2 linked regions of the Tamandua tetradactyla genome follow. The protein of the gene in region 2 interacts with the protein of the main gene of each other region in a biochemical or structural test. Links are inferred from orthologs where the notes say so. Each region holds a gene or a part of one and is shown on either strand. Other genes may lie near its edges. The genes, in order: DVL1 and FZD7.

Region 1 (9,084 bases), on a different chromosome or scaffold from region 2:
TCCCCACCCCCGGGCAAGTCCCTGGCTCCGGGGGACACAGGAGGTGGGGGTGGGAATGGACAGCAGAGCCGGTGCTGGGTGGTGACAGAAAGCCTCTGTGGCCCTGGCCAGCCTCCACTGGGGCCTCATCCCCCCTTATGGCTCCTGATTCCTCTCCTGCCCAGACCCCCATGAGGCTCCAATGCGCACCTCACCACCCCACCAAGCCTCTGGACACCCACTGCCCCTCTCTGACAGGCCCCACCCTCCGGGAGCTCAGGGGTCAGGCTCAGCTCCTCAGGTCCCACACCCCAAACCCACCCCCTCCCCAGACCTGTCCTTCTCAGCAGCTCCCTGCCCTACCCAGGTCCGACCCTGCCATGTCCCTCTGCACTCAGACCACCCACCTGGCAGGGCCCTCACACCCCCAGCCAGGGCTGGTCCCCACCTCCTTCCCTCTTCTTCAGGGCTGCACTCAAACACCCCTAAAACAAACAGCACCCCCACTCAACACTACAGCACAGCACCACGTGATGCGTCCATCTGCCTGGCTCCATGTCCCTGTGTCCCACAGGCCTGAGGTGCCAGGAGGGTGCCAGCGGTTCCCCAGAACTGTGTGGGTGCATAGCAGACCCTCCCAGGCACAGGCCGAGGCAGCACCCACCCTCCCACCAGGGCAGCAGGTGCAAACCACACACCCCCCCCCCCGCTGGGCCAGTCCCCACTCTGAGGGTACCCCCGACCCTGGAGGTGGCAGGACACAGCCAACTGGGCCAGCACCCCTCCAGCCACCTGCACAAGCCACCATCTAGACGCTCACCCCATCAGGGGTGTCAGCGGGTGTCAGCGGGCTGTTGGGGGGAGAGCCTGAGCCACTCCAACGAGAAAAGAGGGAGGCCAGGCATAGGATGCAGGGCCCAGCACAATTGTCCACGCCCAGGACTGTGTCTGGTGGAGAAGTGGGAGCCCGGTAGGGCCGGGAGCACACCTGACAGGAAGCACCTCTGGTCTGGACACCAGCGGCAGATGGACAAGGGCCACAGCCCCTCCTGAAGCACACGCAATAGAGAGGCCAGCAAGGAGGCACCATCCCAGGCTCCCATGGCTGCCCCCAGTTGTCTCCCAGGGCTGGGCCAGCCCCCGGGCACAAACCGTCAACCCCACAAGGCCCCTGGCAAGACACAGGTGCCCACCCAGCGCCCCGCTCCCGCTGAACCACAACAGGTCCCCCAGCGAGCACACCAGAGGCCCCGAGGGCTAAGCACGAGCCTCCCTGGAGACAACCCCGCCCCCAGCGCCTGCTCACCCCATCCCTGTGGGCCACCCCTCCCTTCTCTGGAGTCATCACCCCCCTGCACGACCACTTCCCCGCCAGCCACCAGAGGCCGCAGCATGGTGGGCACCCCAGTGACCCGCCTGGTGAGGCCCAGAGGATGTGACAGGGTGCCAAGACAACGGGAGGAAGGTGGCAGAGATGGCCTGGAACTCCGTGGCCAGCGCTTGCCCCTGCCCCCAAGAGGGCCCAAAGGCCAGAGTCCCACACAGGGCTCTCTATTGGAGCCAGCAAGGCACAGCTTTGCTGACAGTTCCAAGGATGGAACGAGATCTGGGGGTGGAGGAGGCCACAGGTGGGGGCTCATCGTCCAACTCTGCCACTGTGGGGCTGGGCCTCTGGGCAGGGGAATGGACTCCGTCTCCATAGGCCACAGGTGCCCTGCAAGGGCCCCCCCCCACCTGCCTCACGATTCTTGGCACGGTCCCGGTCACCTGGGACTTAGACTGTGGCCCCACCCACCACCCCCACAGCCCCGCCCCAGCCAGGAATCTGCTCTGGGAGGCTGAGGCACTGCTCCTGGAAGCAGCTCAGCCCAGGCCAGACCCCAGAGGGACACCCCAACAGCGCCCCTAGAGGCCCAGGACCCCCCACCACACCGCTTGTCCAGCCCGCGAAGGACAGGACACAGGCTGGCAAGCGGGAGGACGGGGTGGCCCGCAGCTCTCAAAGAGCACCCTGCATGCCAGGGCTTCTCAGACTCCACCCACCTCCAGGCGCTGCCTACATGAGTCTGGGGTTCTTTGGCCCCCCACCCCCGTCAGAAGTTACCTGCACAAGCCCCACCCCATACCTAGGAACTGCCTTGGCAAGCCCAGGGGTCCTCAGCCCCCACGGAGCCTTGGCATGGCCTGCTCCCTGCAGCTAGCCAGCACCCACTCCTCACTCCTGACTGGCCTGGCCACCCCAGGATCCCACCCCGTAGACCACAAACTGACTCTCTCTGAATCCCCTTCTTGGTACCTGCCGGGCACAGCTGGGGAGGGCAGAGGGAGCGCTCGGCCCAAGCACTCAACCCCTGCCCCGCAGCCCCACGAACACAGGTGGCCGTCAAAACACCTGTGCCCACGAACACAGTAACTGGCGTCCCTAAGCCCCCAAGCCCCCTGCCCCTTCCCCTCCCTGCCTCAATCACCCTCCCCCAAGGTGACACCCTCCCTGCACAACCACCTACCAAACCCCTACGCCTGGAACCTCCAGGCCAGCCTGCCACAGGCTCGCCTCCTGCCCCTCCCCATCCCTACAGCCCCCCTCTCCCCACCCCATCCCAAGGAACCCCAGCCAGGAAGACCTGGGGGCACTCGGCCTTCAGAGGCGGCCAGGGGTGCCCCACCCCCGCTCTCCTTGCCCCCCAGTCCTGAGAGCTGCCCCGGGCCTGGGCCTGGCCTGACCTGGGCCTGCACGTGCAAACCAGAGTCCAGAAAACAGCTTCAATGTCAAAGACCCAGGACACGGAGGCACACAAGGGCACAGGCTCGCCTGAGGGTGGCCAGGGTGCACCTGCTCCAGCCAGCAAGGCCAGTGAGAGCCACCCCGCCCTCCCCGCACTGGGACTCGGGTTACGAGCCGTGCTGGGTCAGGCCTCGGTAGCCAGCCAGCCTCCTGCTCACCATCCTGGCCACCCAGCCCTGTGCAGTGCACAGGTCCCCTTGCCCAGGACAGTCAGGCCGAGACCAGGTGCTGCCCAGGCCCGCAGGTGCCCCAGGTGGCTCAGCAGGGACAGAGGCCCTACAGCCAGGAACCCCAGGGCAGGAGTGGACAGACTGACACCCGGGTTCCCAGTGACTCTTGCCTGTCAGGCCCCTGGAAACTTCTGTAGACCCCAAAAGACAGACCCCTGTCCTGGCCCACCCTGCTTTCCTACCCTGACCAGTCTCTGTCCCCACCCCAAGGTCCCTCCACCCTGACACCCCAACCCACCTCTGTGAACCACACACCCTGCAGGCCAGCCCTGCAGCTCCGCCCCCCCCCAGCCCCGAGCCTGGGCCTAGACAGGGCCGGGCTGCGGAGAGGCTGCTCCTGGGCCACAGGCCTGACAGTAGGTCAGGTGCGCGGGGGCACACCACGATGGGGAGGCAGGGACCCTCCCCCGGCCCCGGTCTGGAGCTGCCAGGCTCCTAGGCACAGGCAGGTGGGCACCCGCAGAGTGGCCGGCAGCAGGGGCAGCAGGCCGGGACCCGGGGCGCTGGGGCAGCGCACAGGCCCCAGAGCCCGCGGCCCTGCGCGGCGCAGACAGGTGCCGCGATGCGCGCCGCCCCCGACCCCGGAAGAGCGGCCGCGCGGGGACTGACCCGAAGTCCTGGTCCATGGACTTGAAGAAGAATTTGTAGGCGTGCACCGGCCGGTTGCTGAGCACGTTCTTGAAGTCGGCCAGCGTGACGCGCTCGGGGGCCACGGGCAGCTTGACCAGGTACGGCGTCTCCTCCTCATCCAGGTGGTAGATGATCTTGGTCTCCGCCATGCCGCGGCCCGGGGCTCGGGGCGCGCCCCCCCGCCGGCCTGCGCCCCGCCCGCCCGCCCGCCGCGCCGCCTCCTCCCGGCCCCGCCCGGCCGCCCCGGCCCGGCCCGCGGCCCCGGCTCCCGCTCCGGCCCCGGCTGCTGCCCCGCGGCCCGCGCCCGCCCATCCGCCCCCGGCCGCCGGGGCCGCGGGCGCGAGGGGAGCAGCGGGAGGGGCGCGCTCGCCCGTCGGGCCGCCCCCCGCGCGTCCGTGCGTCCGGCTGCCGCGCCCGCCCCGCGCGCCCCGCCCCGCGCCGCCGCCGCCGCCGCCCCCTCGGGCCGCGCGCAGTTAAAGGGCCGGCCCGAGGCCCGAGCGGGAGCCGCCGGGGGCGCCCGAGAGCGCTGAGGGTGGGTGGGGGGGACGACGTCACCGAGCCCGCGGGGGAGGGGCTGCGCAGGCGCGGGGCTGGCAGGGGTGGGGTGTGCTCACCGGCCCCGCCCCTCTCCCGGGACGCGCGCGCACTCGCTGGCCCGACTCTCCGCGCGGGCCTCGCCGGGTTGGGCCGGTGGGCGGGGCCTCGACTGGCTCCGCCCCCGCCCCAGCTGTCAGAAGGGAGTCCCCGCCGCCGGGAGCTTGGGGAGTCGCCGCGAAATCGCCTGGTCGGAGGTCTCGACCCTCCTCCCCTCCCGAGGACTCCCAGCGTCCGTGGGCGCTCAGAGCCCGGAAGCGCCCGGGGCACCGGGGCCGGCTGCAGGGCCGGGCGTGAGGCCGAGGATGTCCTGCGCCCCGGCTGGGGTTAGGGTCCTCGGTCACCTCTCGCCCCATGCCCGCTCCGCGCTCCCGCGTCTTCTGTCTGGTCCCACGGGAGATCTGAGAAGCCTAGGCCCAGAGTGGTCGCGGGCGCCTGCGGGGACGCTTGCTGCCTTTGTGAGCGCGTGTCTGGGTGGCCGCTGGAGGGGACAGCGGGGCTCAGCGCTAGCAGGGGAGCGCCCTCTCCCACTTGGGCACAGATGTTTGGCGGACGCTGGGAAGGGAGGCCGCGAGGCCACTAGGGGCGTCCTAGGCTGGCCAGGCAGGAGGAAGACCCCAGGCCGCGGGCAGAGCATGCGATGCTGATCACCCCTGGTGACCACCCAGACCAGCCTTGCCCCATCCCCACCCCGCCTGGAGGCTGGGGCACTCTGGGGAAAGACCCCAGCAGTCCAACTGTGGCCTGAGTGGTTAGGCTGGGAACACCCCCAGGGCAGCCTAGGTTAGGGTCCCGACTCCCGTGGCTCTCAGCTGTGATGGAGTGAGTGGGCAGGGCTCTGCTGGAGGCGGCCTCTGCCAGCTTGGCACCTGAGGACTCGGTTTCCCCAGTGGTAGACCGAGGAAGCCATGCAGCGTGACTGCTGGGGAGTCTGCCATGACTGTCTGCTGGGTTCCCCAGGAAGAAAGAAGATGGCCTTGATGCCCCCTGGGGGATGGCACCCTCCAGGACAGCCCGGCTGTGGCCGGTCAGGGGGAGCCAGCAGCATACAACCAGAGGAGGGGTCTCTGTCCTCCAGTCCCTGAGGCCTTCCTCTCCTACCTTACCCTCAGCCCAAGTCATGAGGCAGCTGGAGAGGCTGGCAGCGGAGCCCTGGGGGCATTAGTGGGGAGGGGCCCTGCGGGGCGGCCCTCATCCGGCCACAGTGCAGCCATGGTGAGCCCAAGGTCACCATGGGCTGGGGGGAGCTGCCTCGTCCAACGAACCGTAGCTCCCTTTCCTGCCCACCTTTGCTATTGTGCGGTCACCCTTCCCCAGCCCCTGCTCTCCTGGGAGAGAGAATGAAGGTGATAAGTCACAAAGGCCACATCCAAACAGCTGGCTTTTTGCCGGGGGCCGCTGCAGGCTGGGTCTCCTCCCGCTTACACCACCTCCCCACCTGTCTCTCCCAGGTGACAGTCCAGCTTCCCGCTGTGAAGATCTTGCCTGCTCCTGCCTCTGCCTCCTTGCACATCTCATCTCAGCGTGTGTTTGGAGGACTTGTACTCATGCAGCTGCCCTCATCCTACCACAATGTTCCCCTCCCCCATGTGCAAATAAGCCCTTGTGCGAGAATCTGTCTCCAGTGTCGCTGTTCCCAGTGTTCTGAACACTAGCCAGACCCAAACCCTCTGCTCCAGGGCTCGGGGTGACAGTGCAGGTGAAGGTGCTGAGGTTCGGCCCACAGGAGACAGAGGGGCAGCTGCAAGGCCCACCTGGGACCAGGCTCTGAAACCAGACGTGGACTTTATTGTGACAGCGGCAGTTCTCCAGAAGCAAACGTGGAGCGCTGGGCGTGGTGACAGGTGCCACCCCAGAACCATCTTCACCCCTCCCCTGTCCTCAACCAAAAGCAGAAGCCAATGTGGCCCCAGCCCCAGACGCCAGCCCAGGGAGGTGCAGGGACATGGTCAGGGTCAAAAGTCATACAGAATCGGGTGACTGTCGAGGCAGCTCACTGGAAACAGGGCTGAGTCACGCTGAAAGCAAAGGAAGGGGCAACAGGGCAGCCCCAGCTGGCCCAGAGCAGCACAGAGGGGCCTTAGCCCTGGGCCTGGAGAGTGCTGGTCCTCAGACCTCGTGCAGGGCAGGGTGCAGCCCAGCTGGGGTTTGGAGTAACCCAGTCTCAAGGCATCCTCACAACCTCAGGCTGCAGCAGGCAGCTCTCCTGCAGGAGCTTAGGGTGCTAGCCCTGGGGCTGACCCCCTGCAATCTCTGCTGAGCCCCTCCAAGAGCGCCTTTCCTGCCACAGCCCTGGGGAGGCAGGCTTCCCAGCCCCCTGCAAGCAGAGGCCAGGAGGGCAGAGGGCCTGGTGAACACTGGCAGAGTCTCGACTGTGCCAAGGAAGTTGGCCAGGGGGCAGGGCAGGGCCACCAGTGAGCACAGGAGCCAGCAAGGGCTGGCTGAAGGGGCAGTAGCCACATGCTGGCTGAGAGTCTCAGGGAGCCCACCCCTGCTTAAAAGGATTAGTGGGTCTACTGGAAAGGGGTCTGAAGGTAGCCCCACTCTGCAACAGTCCAGGCCGAGTTCCAGGAAAGCGGGACCAGCCGCTGGAGGGGATCCAGGTGGCACCAAGCACCTGAGGGTTGGTAGAACGTCCTCTGAGGTGGACAGAGAGAAGTTGGCAGAGCTTCTGGCCCAGCCAGGAGCCTAGGATCACTTATTTGCAGTATTCCTTCCTGAACTCTGCAAATCAAGGGAACACAGGCTGGGATCTGCTCTTTCCGCCTCCCTCTCAGTGGATTACTCAGGGCAGATACTCAGCAGGACTTCCCCAAGCCTGGAGCACAGCGGTGACAGGGGTCTCCTGACCATGCGGCTGGTTGAGTGTGGTGATTTCAGGGAGCCCTGGGAAGGGGTGGAGTGGGGCTGCATCTGGACTTGGAAATGGAAGGGACAGGCAGGGAGGGGCCCCCTACAGCCACTCACCTTTGTCCAAGTCAATGTGCTTGGCGGGCAGGGGGCCATGGGCCAGCTCAGCCCTCTCCTTCAGGATGTTGTTTTTGTAATCTGGTGTGGGGACAGAAGCAGTGTGAGACCCCCACCTACCCCGAGAAGGGCCTCTAACACCCGAGCCTGAGAGCCCTGCGGCCCACCCTCACCCAGTTGAATCTCCTCACTCCTGTAAAAACCCTGGTCCCCGGTGGCCACAGCCAGCTCGGCCAGGTTCACATCCTTCCTGGAAGAGAGAACCGTGGGGGGAGGTGAGAGTGGTGGGGATGGAAGAGGATCTGGTCCCAGGGCCAGCCCAGAGGTCGCACGCGCACTCACCCCTTGGACTTCCCTGACTTCTCTGTGTATTCATAGCCTGGGGAGGGAGACAGGTTGGGGACAGTCACACACACACACTCCTAGCAGCCCTCTCATCTAACCCAGGGAGCTCCCAGCCGCCCACCAGTGAACACAAGGGTTGCAGTGCCCCAAGACCCACCTCTGGACGGCACGTCCTCCCTCTTTCTACCCTCAGTCTCTGCTGTGAGCAGTCCCTGCGCTCCGGAGTTGGGTGCGGTGCCCAGCCCTCACCTCTGCAGGGCAGCCCTCACCCCCCCAGTGCCCAGCCCTCACCCCCAGGGCCCCACCCTCACCTCCGGACACCTGACCTTCACCTCCGGGCGCCCGACCCTCGCTCCCGGGCGCCAGACCTTCACCTCCGGGGACCCGACCTTCACCTCCGGGGGCCCGACCCTCACCCCCGGGGACCCGACCCTCGCCCCCGGGCCTGGCCCTCACCTCCACGGCGGCGCCTGCGGGTGGCCAGGGCGACGGTGATGAGCAGCAGGATAAAGAGCAGCAGCGTGGCCAGCACGTAGCCTAGCTGCTGGAAGAAGTGGGCCCGACCCTCTGGCACGATAACGTTGATGACGCTGCGGCCGCGCGCCAGGGTGGGGTCTGCGGGGCGGAGCAGGGGCTGCGTCAGGGGCGGCCGCGGCGGGACGCCCTCCTGAGGCCCCCGACGGGCCGGCTCCGAGGCCGGGGAGCGGGACCCGGAGCCGCCCCTCCAGACCGGCGTCCCGGGTGCCCGGCCCCAGGCCCAGGGTCCCCAGAGCGGCACCGTACCTGGGCCCGAGGCGCCGCTGTGGCTGGAGCCGTTGCCGGGCCGGGTCCGCGGCGGCGGGTCGGCGGCGGGCTGGGCGACGCTCAGGTGGAAGACGCGGCGCTCGTGCAGGCCGCAGTAGTGGTGATGCAGGTGGCAGGAGTAGGTGCCCTCGTCCGCTGGCTCCAGAGGGTCGATGTGCAGCGAGAAGTCGCCGCGCGCGAAGGCGTCGGCGCCCACCGCCATGCGCGCGTGCAGGAGGGGCGGCCCGTAGGCGCGGCGCTCGCCGGACGCGTACAGGTCGAGCAGGCGGTCGGCGCGGTCGTGCGGCACCCCCGGCGGCTGCCGGTCCCAGTGCGCCACCTGCTGCGCCTCCTCCACGTGCCGGTCGGTCCACACGTGTGCACGGTTCACGCAGGTCAGAAGCGCCGATGCGCCGCGCTGCACCGCCAGGACCTCCTTCTCGCCGTCCCAGCGCGCGCCGGCGGCCAGGGCTGCAGGGAGTGGCGGGGAGGTCACGGTCGAGGCCGGGCAGCCTCCAGGGCGGCGGGGGCGGGTGGGCACGGGGAAGAGGGGCGGGCACGCTCACGGTCGTCGGTGACCTCGAGGCGGATGGCTAGGCTCTCGTAGAGGTGGCAGTAATGGTGGTGCAGGTTGCAGGTGTACAGCCCCTCGTCCGTCTCCTCCACCGCTGCAGACCCGGGAGAAAACCCGCGACGTAAGCCCGCCATGCGGTGCTCGGCACCCGCCCGCGACCGGAATCCGCTGGTCCCCGGGGCCCTGCGTCCCAGGCC
Region 2 (9,164 bases):
TTGCATTTCCTTCAGCCAAGTCAGAAAACCTCTGACTGAACTGGGCACGAAAGCATGCTGCCCTTCACTTTTCCTTAAAAAGGAATGTTTATCTCAACCAAATTAACATCCAAAGGGAAACCTCCGATTTGCGCTACTTTGCCTGTAAGAGTTGCTGTCTTTCACAGTTACACCTTTCCACAGGGAGACACTTTTGTTTCCTCTTTTGTCTCTTACAACAAAGACAAGGGTAAAAAATGCATTCCTGTTTAGAAAAAGCAACAAGTCATCACTTCTTTTCAGGGTATGAAACCAAACAAAACACACTTCTTTCTTTCTCCTGCCTTCCCAGAAAATTAAAAAGCAGCAGAAATACCTACTACTCCTTTCCTTAGCCTCATCTAGAAATGTTATCACTATTTCTTTTGCATCTTCACATTAGGATTCTAGGAGGCATGCCTCCCTAGACTTGCCAATGCTTATAAGACTTGAAAGGAGAAGAGGAGGAAAAACAGGCCAGAGGGGGGTAAGGGAGGAGACACTGTAATGTCTGACCCTGGAAATTAACCCATCTGGGCTCCAGTTTGGCCCCAGTGAAAAGAGATTATGGTTTGACCACCGCTTGACAAGAACACCGCGGGGAGTCCTCCCTGTCCCCAACAAAGCGGCCGCTGCAGACAGCGCTGTACCTTTCACCAGGGCCTCACAGGAGTGGAGACAGGCCACTTTCCTTACAGCAGAGGAATCGCTCACAGCCCCAGTTCAGCCCCTGAACCAGGAGGAAAGTAGGGCAGTCTCTGTTGGTCTCAACTGTCTCGATAGGCCCAAGTCTGCCCATACCTTACCTAATTAAGACTCTCATTATTTAGTATTATCCTGCAAGTCTTTGCCAGAAGTCTTTTCACCCAGGCCTCCTTTCCAAACCCACCCCTCGCCTCAAATCTCCAAACTTCTCTCCTCCAGGTCACTTCTCTCAGCGGAGGGTGGGAGGTTACAGAAACGCTCCCCCCTCATTATTTGTTTCCCTACCGCGTCTCTCCCCCTTGCAAGGGGGTGGGGGCTCACTCCGGGAGCTGCCGGGGCTCATACCGCAGTCTCCCCCTTGCTGCTGTGGCTGAACCTGTGGTAGAAGCGGCGCCACGACTGCAGGGTCTTGCCGGACCAGATCCAGAAACCGGTGGTGATCCCTACGATCATGGTCATCAGGTACTTGATCATGAAGACGGTGAAGTCGGGGCTCATGGGCGGGAAGTGGCCGGGAGGACACGGCACCGCGTAGCTCTTGCACGTCTGCAGGAGCCAGGTGCGCTCCCAATGCTCGCGGAAGGCCTGCTCGTAGAAGTAGCAAGCCAGCACGATGGTAGCTGGCACCGTGTAGAGCACGCTGAAGACGCCGATGCGCACCATCAGCTTCTCCAGCTTCTCGGTCTTGGTGCCGTCGTGCTTCATGATGGTGCGGATGCGGAAGAGAGACACGAAGCCCGCCAGCAAGAAGGACGTACCGATGAAGAGGTAGACAAACAGGGGTGCCAGCACGAAGCCCCGCAGTGCGTCCACGCTCGACAGGCCCACGTAGCACACCCCGCTGAGCAGGTCCCCGTCCACCTGGCCCATGGCCAGGATAGTGATGGTCTTGACGGCGGGCACGGCCCACGCGGCCAGGTGGAAGTACTGCGAGTTGGCCTCGATGGCTTCATGGCCCCACTTCATGCCGGCCGCCAGGAACCAGGTGAGCGACAGGATGACCCACCAGATGGAGCTGGCCATGCCGAAGAAGTAGAGCACCATGAAGAGAATGGTGCAGCCCTCCTTCTTGGTGCCCTGCGCCACCGTGCGGTAGCCATCGTCCGAGAAGCGCTCCACGCACACAGCGCGGTCCTCCAGCAGGAAGCCGGCCACGTGCGCCACCGCCACCATGAAGTAGCAGCCCGACAGGAAGATGATGGGCCGCTCAGGGTAGCTGAAGCGCCGCATGTCCACCAGGTAGGTGAGCACGGTGAAGAGCGTCGAGGCGCAGCACAGGACCGACCACACGCCCACCCAGAGGCGGGCGAAGCGCCTCTCCTCCTCCTTAAAGTACATGAGGCCGTTTGCTCGACCCGGCTCGCACGGGGCGCCGCAGTCGCGCTCGCCCAGGAAGCGGTATCCCAGATAAGGGGGCACCTTGAGCTGGCGGGGACACGAGAAGGGGAAACCCAAGCGGTCCCTGCCGTCTGCGCCCCCCGGGGGCAGCGCAGTGAAGGGTAAATCCGGCAGGTAGGGCGCGGTGGGGTAGGCTGTGGGGCCGCCGCCGGGGCCTCCCGAGCCGTCGGAGGTGTTTTGGCCCACGCAGATCTCGCCGGCTCCGTGCACCGGGAAGTTCTCGCAGCGCAGCCTCTCCGGCCACTGGAAGCCGAACTTGTTCATGAGCGCCTCACAGCCCTGGCGGGCGCGCTCGCACAAGGAGCGGCACGGCGGGATGGCCTGCTCCAGCACGGTGCACACAGGCGCGTACATGGAGCATAGGAAGAAGCGCAACTCGGGCGAGCACTGCACCTTCACCAGAGGGTAGAACTGGTGCACCTCAAGGCCCGCGTCCTCTTGATTCGTGTGACCTAGCAGGTTGGGCAGGATGGTCTGGTTGTAGGCGATATCCGTGCACAGCGGGATGGAGATGGGCTGGCAGAAGCCGTGGTCCGGCACCGAGATGCCCTTCTCGCCATGGTACGGTTGCGCCCCGGCGCCCGCGGGCAACGCGCCCACCAGTGCCAGCACCAGGGCGCACAGACCCAGGGATGAGCAGGACGCCGCCGCGCCGGGACCCCGCATCTCCGGCAGCTGGAGCAGCGACGCTCTCAGCCCAAGGAGCGCGACTAGGCGGCTGAGACAGGCTTGGATCCCGAGAGGCGCCGCCGCGCCGGGCGCATGAGAGTCCTCCCGGCGCCGGGGCCCGGCTGTGGGCAGCGTGGAGGCAAGGGCGCTGCCGCCTCGTTGTCTGCGCGGCGGAGGCGAGATCGCCAGCCACCCGGGCGCCGCAACCGCCTCCACCGACTCACGCCGCCTCCGGGGCCCCAAAACTCGTCCGCTGGAGCCAGGGGCGCGGAGGGGAACAGTTTTCCCCTCCCGGCCAAGACGTAACGGTGCGCCTTTCTCTGAGACAAGGAGCAACAAGCGTCTCCGGTTGTCTTTCAAAGTTTGCCCAAGTCTCTCGACCCCCAGTGCACAATAATGCGCACGCCCCCCACACCAAGTCTGTCCCTCGCCAAGCGAGAGCCCGGCGCCGCCGCCTGGTAGCCCCGGCTGCAGCCTCGGCGGTACTGCTCCGCCCCCTCGCCTCGAGGCTCTGCTCGCCGCCTCCTCCTCCACTCCCCGTTTCTTCTTCAGCCCCAAAAGCTCGGGCCCAAGTTTCAGCCAAGCGCCTTATTTTCGCTGTGAGTCCGATCTGCGCCTTTCAGCCAAGAACTCAGCGAGTTCTTTTTGGAAATCCAGTTACACTGCTGAGAGACCTCGCAGTCTGGGCCCAGCCTCTCCAGTCCCGCAGAACCCTAGCTCGCGAGTCCTGGCTTCAGCAGCCGCCACCCCGCGCCCCAGGAGAGAGTGTCGAGTAACGCCTCGGAGCCGCGCAACTCCGCAGAAGAGGCGTTGGGCTTGGAGAGACCCGGGCCGCCCCGCCCCTTCCCCTCCCCCCATTCACAAACCACTCCGGGGGCGGACCCGAGCCCCAGGGTGGCCCAATGATGGCCTTTGTTTTCTCTATTGCCGCCTCCGCATTGGGTAGAAGTCGGAAGGGGCGGGCAAGGGAATTGGGCCGGCGGAGTCTGCAGAGCTTTGGGCGGATTCCTGAGGGGAGGGGTAGGGGGTGAGACGGAAAAGTTAGAAAAAACTTGTACCCTGAATTCGCTCTGGGGGGAAAACGCACCAGAAAGGGAATTTGCTTGAAAGATAGGTTCTTATTCTGGGTACACCAAAATGCACATTCCTGAACAGAAGGGTGCATTCGGAAAGGCTTTTGCGGGGAGAAGCTGAAAATAGCGCAGCGCCTCAACCGAAGAGAGACGTGACCTGTAGTCACGTTAGCCCTGCCCGAGCTCAGAAGAGCGAGTAGCCGAATCCTAAGTGAGGGATTCGGATCGGGGCGGGAAAAGGGGTGCGTCTTGTGGTCTTTTCTCTCCTTAGACCCAAATAGACCACGTGAGGCTGTGAGGCCCTCTCACGCCCCCCCCCCCCCAGTTGTAAAAAGGAGGGGTAGCAGCCTCGGAGGAGAAAGCAGAATGGGGCGGAGCGGCCGGACTTAAGGCGGGAGGAAATGCAGACCCTTCCGAGGGGAGAGGACCCAGGAGCAGGGGGCGCGGGATACCTCGACTCCGGGCCACCCCGACCGCGCGCGCGGCCTGCGTCTGGGGAGCTGGGGAAGCTTTAGTATGTGGGATAAATGGTTATGAAAGTATCCCGAGACCGAGAGCCCAAGAACACTCTACGATTTACAGCGCGACTTCTGTTGCCCTGTTTCCTTAGTTCTGCGGCGTAAGACCATTCAGGATCCCATTTTTGTCGCAGAAGCAATTATTTGATTCTCCATTTGGAAACTGCGTAGAAAAGTTTGAGTGTGTACTAGAAACCAGGGCCATTTACTAATTAAGGAGTTTTCAAAACACAAAGAGGAGTCATCTTCGTTCGTATCGTTTTCTGATTGGCAAACATTCTTTTGTTCTCAAATCTTCGCCCAGCTCGAGGCGCTGGGAGCTCGCGCGCGCTCTCGAGTTATTCAGGACCAGGCCGCAAATTACCTGGGGGCTTCTAGCGAGGATTATCGTGAATTTCCATCCAGGAAAATGACAAATTGAGAAGGAAAAGAAAAATCAATTTCTCTCTCTCTCTCTCTCTCTCTCACACACACACAAACACAAACAGAGCAATTCTTTAAAAAACGAACAAACAAAAACACTTCACTCTTGGCGGAGCCCTTTCTGCTAGTCTCAGTTTCCAGTGCTGGAGCTCTCAGGGATTTCTGATCAGGTTGAGGGATTGCAGAAGTTCTTGCCTCTGCTGCCCCTGGTGCTGCTGCTGCTGCTTCCAAGCTTTCTCCAGAAAGAAGGAAAAAAAGAAAAAGTAAAAAACCACAATTTTGAAATCTAAGACAATTAATTGGGTTCTCTTCTATAGGAGACTATGAGTTTCTCTGTTTTTCTTTTATGTGTTCTGTATTATTGATATGTACTGAAAATCTTTCTTTCACAGTTCTTTGCGGTTTTTCACTCGCCCTCCTGTTTATGCATCTAGTGGCGGGAAAGCTTTGGGCAGAGGTAGGGGTGTCCTACTGCTTGCATCCTCCTTCCCGCCCTCAGTGGAAAGCCACATCTTTATTCCTCCTGGGCCTCAGCTTTCTCTCTCATGCCTGGGCTGGTAATTTTTTTTTTTTCCTGTTGGTGTATCTGTCTCAAGGTAATAGGAAGGAGTAATATTTGCTTTGAAATGTTTCATTCCTCCCTTGTACAGTTTTTAAGAGCTCTCCTTCTTTCTAAATGATTATTCCTATTACCTTAATTACCTTACCTCTGGAAGCATTGATACTGCATTGAAAGATAGTGCTTAAAGACAATGCTGTTGTTTTGTTTTGTCATTTAAAATGTGTGTGGTGGGGGATAGAGTGAATGGGGCTTTGGAAATTCCTTTTTCTCTGTGAGCTTCAGGATACCCTCCTTTTCTAAATCAAATTTCATACTTATTCATCAGGCTGCTGATTTAAGTCATCTTTGCTTATTGAGGAAGAAATAGCAAGTACTATCAAATAAGATGAAAACCAACAGGAAAAAATACCGAGTCTCAAACACAACTTCTACTCCTCATATTATAGTTCCAGACGGTTCCCTGATGTTAGGTAATAGGGATGATAATTTGGAAAGAAAAAGAGAGAGCCTTTAAAAAAAAATACAAGGAATGAATGAAATATTTTTAAAACAATCTATGCAGAAGGATATAGAAAACTGATCCCAGATGGAAAGTGCCACAGATGTGAGAACTCTTGCTGTGTCCTAGGCAATAAATTGCAAAAGCAGAGAAACAAAGACAAACGTTTTGGAGAATGTTTTAGGTTTTTTTTTAAGGTGATATTTTAAAAATTCAAAAATTATTCTGGAAAATGAGAAATTGCTGTTTGTGAGAAGGATACCGTAGCCTTCTACACTTTACTGTTAAAGAATGCTATGATTTCAAGAAGCTAAGTAATAAAAGGGAGCAAATCAGAAAAAGTGCACAGCATAGAGGATTAAATAACCGTTAAGCTTATGATAAATGTAATAATGCCGGTTTACATTCTGTCCAGGGCCAATTTAATGTTTTCCGAGCAACATCTTCCCCACCCAGTTCCCAAAGCCACTAACTGGTATCTTAGAGCTGAGGGTGGGAAATTTTGAAACTGTCTGATCCAAAACTTCCAATTGTACCTGCCCTTCAAAACAACAAAAGTCTTATTTCTTCATTCCATAGGCATGTGGTCCCACAGAAAAGTGATGCTATTGATTAGCTTAAATTTTTAAATGCTATGTATTTTGGCCAGATCCCAGGTTTATCTAGTTGAATGACCCATTCTAATGTCAGGCCAGATTTGAAAATGGGCCATCTTTGTGGCACCACAATACTGTGATTATAAAGAAACTCCAGCTTCAAGAATTAACTCATGTGCAGCTTTTAGCACATACTTCCCTTTTTGGTCTGTCTTTTAACTAAACAATTTGTACATCATGAAATAGAGGACTTGAAATTCCCAGTTACCAGGTAGCCATTGGCTTCTGTGCATTTTAGTTTGGGGTGCTGGTTCGCTCCAAAACAAAAAAATGGGTACATTCATGTCTCTAAAACTGACTTTCAAATGTCATGAGATTTAGAAATGTCCAGCTTGAATAAGAAGAGGATCATGCTAAAACTTGGTGTGGTTAGTCCCATCCTGTAGAGAGGACTTATATGACAGATTTAGTCACTGAATCTGACCACTATCTCCCTTGTTGGTTAAGGGTTGTATTAATTATCTATTGCTATGTAACAAACTGTCCCAAAACGTAACGGCTCTTAAAGAATGCACATAGGACCAAGATGGAGCTGCTCATGCAAAGCCCCATGTCAGTAAACTGAAACTTAACTGCTGTTTCCTGTGAGCCTCAGCTCTCCATCATAGTCTGCCATCTCCAGTTAGTTTGTGTGTCCTAACCCTCTTCTGGCTTGGCATTATCCATGTAAGAATAATCTCTTGAGAAAGGCAGTGGAGTCATTTATACTGCTAGCTTCCTTCTCTTCTAGAAAGAGAGTAGCCTACTCTTTCTACTACCGTTCAGAACTCCCCTCTACTTTCTGGATGGGATGCTGCTTAATTCATGGGTTGCTCATGAGATCTCAAGCTGTAAGATCCTAATTTTCATGTTGTTAAAAAGCTTTTCTTTTATCACAGCTTAAAACAGCAATTTATAACTCAAAATTTGTGTGTCAGGAATACGGGTGCACTTAAGCTGGGTCTTCGGGCTTAGGGTCTCTCACAAGACAGTAGTCATGGTGTTTGTCATAGTTGTAACTGCCTCACAGCTCAGTCGGAGGAGGATTCATCTCCAGACTCATAATGGGGTTGTTGGCAGGCCTCAGGTTCTTGCTAACTGTTGGCCAAAGACATCAGTTCCTTGCTGAGTGGATCTGTCCTAGAGGCATTTGTCTTCCCGTGGAGCAAGGGCTGAGAGAGAAAAAGAGAGAGAGAAAAGAAGGGAAGCTATAGTCTTTTTGTAAGTTAGTCTTTCAAGTGACATCTTGTCATATCTGCTTTATTCTACTCATTAGAAGCTAGTCACTAAGTCTGCCCACACTGGAGGGTGTGAAAACCCATGGAGGGCAAGGATCATCGGGAGCCATTTCAGAGACTGCCTACTGCAAATATTGTTCATTCATTTCCAAAGTAATATGGAGATGAGGCCACAGAGTGAAACAAATCTGGAGTCTCTGCCCTTGGGGAGTCCAGAAAAAAGGTCACAAATAAAACATAGTGTTGACTGGTTACGATGCCCTTTGCACCTGTTAGAGTGAAAACAGAATCCTAACTTTGGCCACCTATTTTTTAAACATCGGACTAGAGAGAGAAAGAATGTGGAGAAAGTTGGTTAATAAAAGACCATTACTAACCCTGGAGAAAAACCTCCAAGTACAGAGGGTGGGCCATCCTGGAGTGTCAAACTGTACTCAAAAGACAGGATGTTGGGCCATAAGTCTGTAGAAAGAGACTTTGGCTATTTGGGTTATGTGATAAAAGCACTGTTATTACTTGTTATCCATGTCTTCAGTGCCATGCTGTACTGTACTGTTGTGTAGGAAGGGTTGCAGAGGTGGTTAGTACAGACCGGTTTAGTTCTGCTTTCACCATCGATTTCCTGTGATGCCTCAGGCAAGTCGCTTAACCGCCCTAGCTCTCCCAGAATGTTGTGAGGATTAATGGGATAATGTTTACAAAATGCTTTGTGATGAGGGCAGAATCCTGGTTTGGTTATTTGGATGCACATCACAGAGATAAAGTAAAAAGCTAAGTTAGCTGTATATTTTATGGCTCTGGCTCTCTGTTGAGGTTGTGATTTTTTACAAGCGGTATACTGGTAAATGTTTAATAACCAGCTCTCCGGGGAAAAAACTCTGATCTGTATACCTTTGCCAATTTCCATGGTGTAAATACTGCCAGCTACCCACGTGATGTCACTGCCTTAGTTTGCTAAGGCTGCCATCACAAAGTATCACAAATTGGGTGCCTTAACACAATAGAAATGTATTGTCTCACAGTCTGAAGGTTAGAAGTCTGAAATTAAGGTGTTGGCAGGGCCATACTTCCTCTAAAGTCTGTAGGAAGTAATCCATTCCTGCCTCTCTCCTGGCTCCTGGCAGTGGCTTGCCCGCAATCTGTGGTGTTCTCTGCCTCAGTGGTCACATGGCATTCTCCCTTTTATCCATCTGTGTCCAAATGTCCTCATTTTATAGGGAGACATTATATGTTGGATTAAGGGCCCATCCTACTCCAGTATCACTTCGTTTTAACTTGCCTAATTCCATCTCCTATTTCCAAATAAGGTCACATTCTGAGAAGTGAGAGTAGGACTGTATCCTGTTTTGGGGGGGCATTATTCAATTCATAACAGTCCTTGAATTTAGAATTTGGAAGCCTCTGAGAAGCATCTCCAGCACACCAC

The links.
Region 1: the proteins of FZD7 (region 2) and DVL1 form a complex in vitro, tested with the Homo sapiens proteins (2 studies listed by BioGRID and IntAct, with this or other methods). The link is inferred for Tamandua tetradactyla from reciprocal best matches to the Homo sapiens genes FZD7 and DVL1.

Annotation. Positions count from the first base shown.
Region 1 is NC_135328.1:223,548,406-223,557,489, reverse strand, and holds the start of DVL1 (segment polarity protein dishevelled homolog DVL-1), read right to left. Parts: upstream 3,811-9,084; 5' UTR 3,774-3,810; coding exon 3,604-3,773; intron 1-3,603. Other genes in the region: MXRA8 (matrix remodeling-associated protein 8), read right to left, coding at 6,917-6,942, 7,186-7,266, 7,359-7,435, 7,528-7,564, 7,987-8,145, 8,314-8,784, 8,880-8,981. UniProt on the Homo sapiens protein: Participates in Wnt signaling by binding to the cytoplasmic C-terminus of frizzled family members and transducing the Wnt signal to down-stream effectors. Plays a role both in canonical and non-canonical Wnt signaling.
Region 2 is NC_135329.1:176,688,499-176,697,662, reverse strand, and holds the start of FZD7 (frizzled-7), read right to left. Parts: upstream 3,616-9,164; 5' UTR 2,788-3,615; coding exon 1,063-2,787; 3' UTR 1-1,062. UniProt on the Homo sapiens protein: Receptor for Wnt proteins.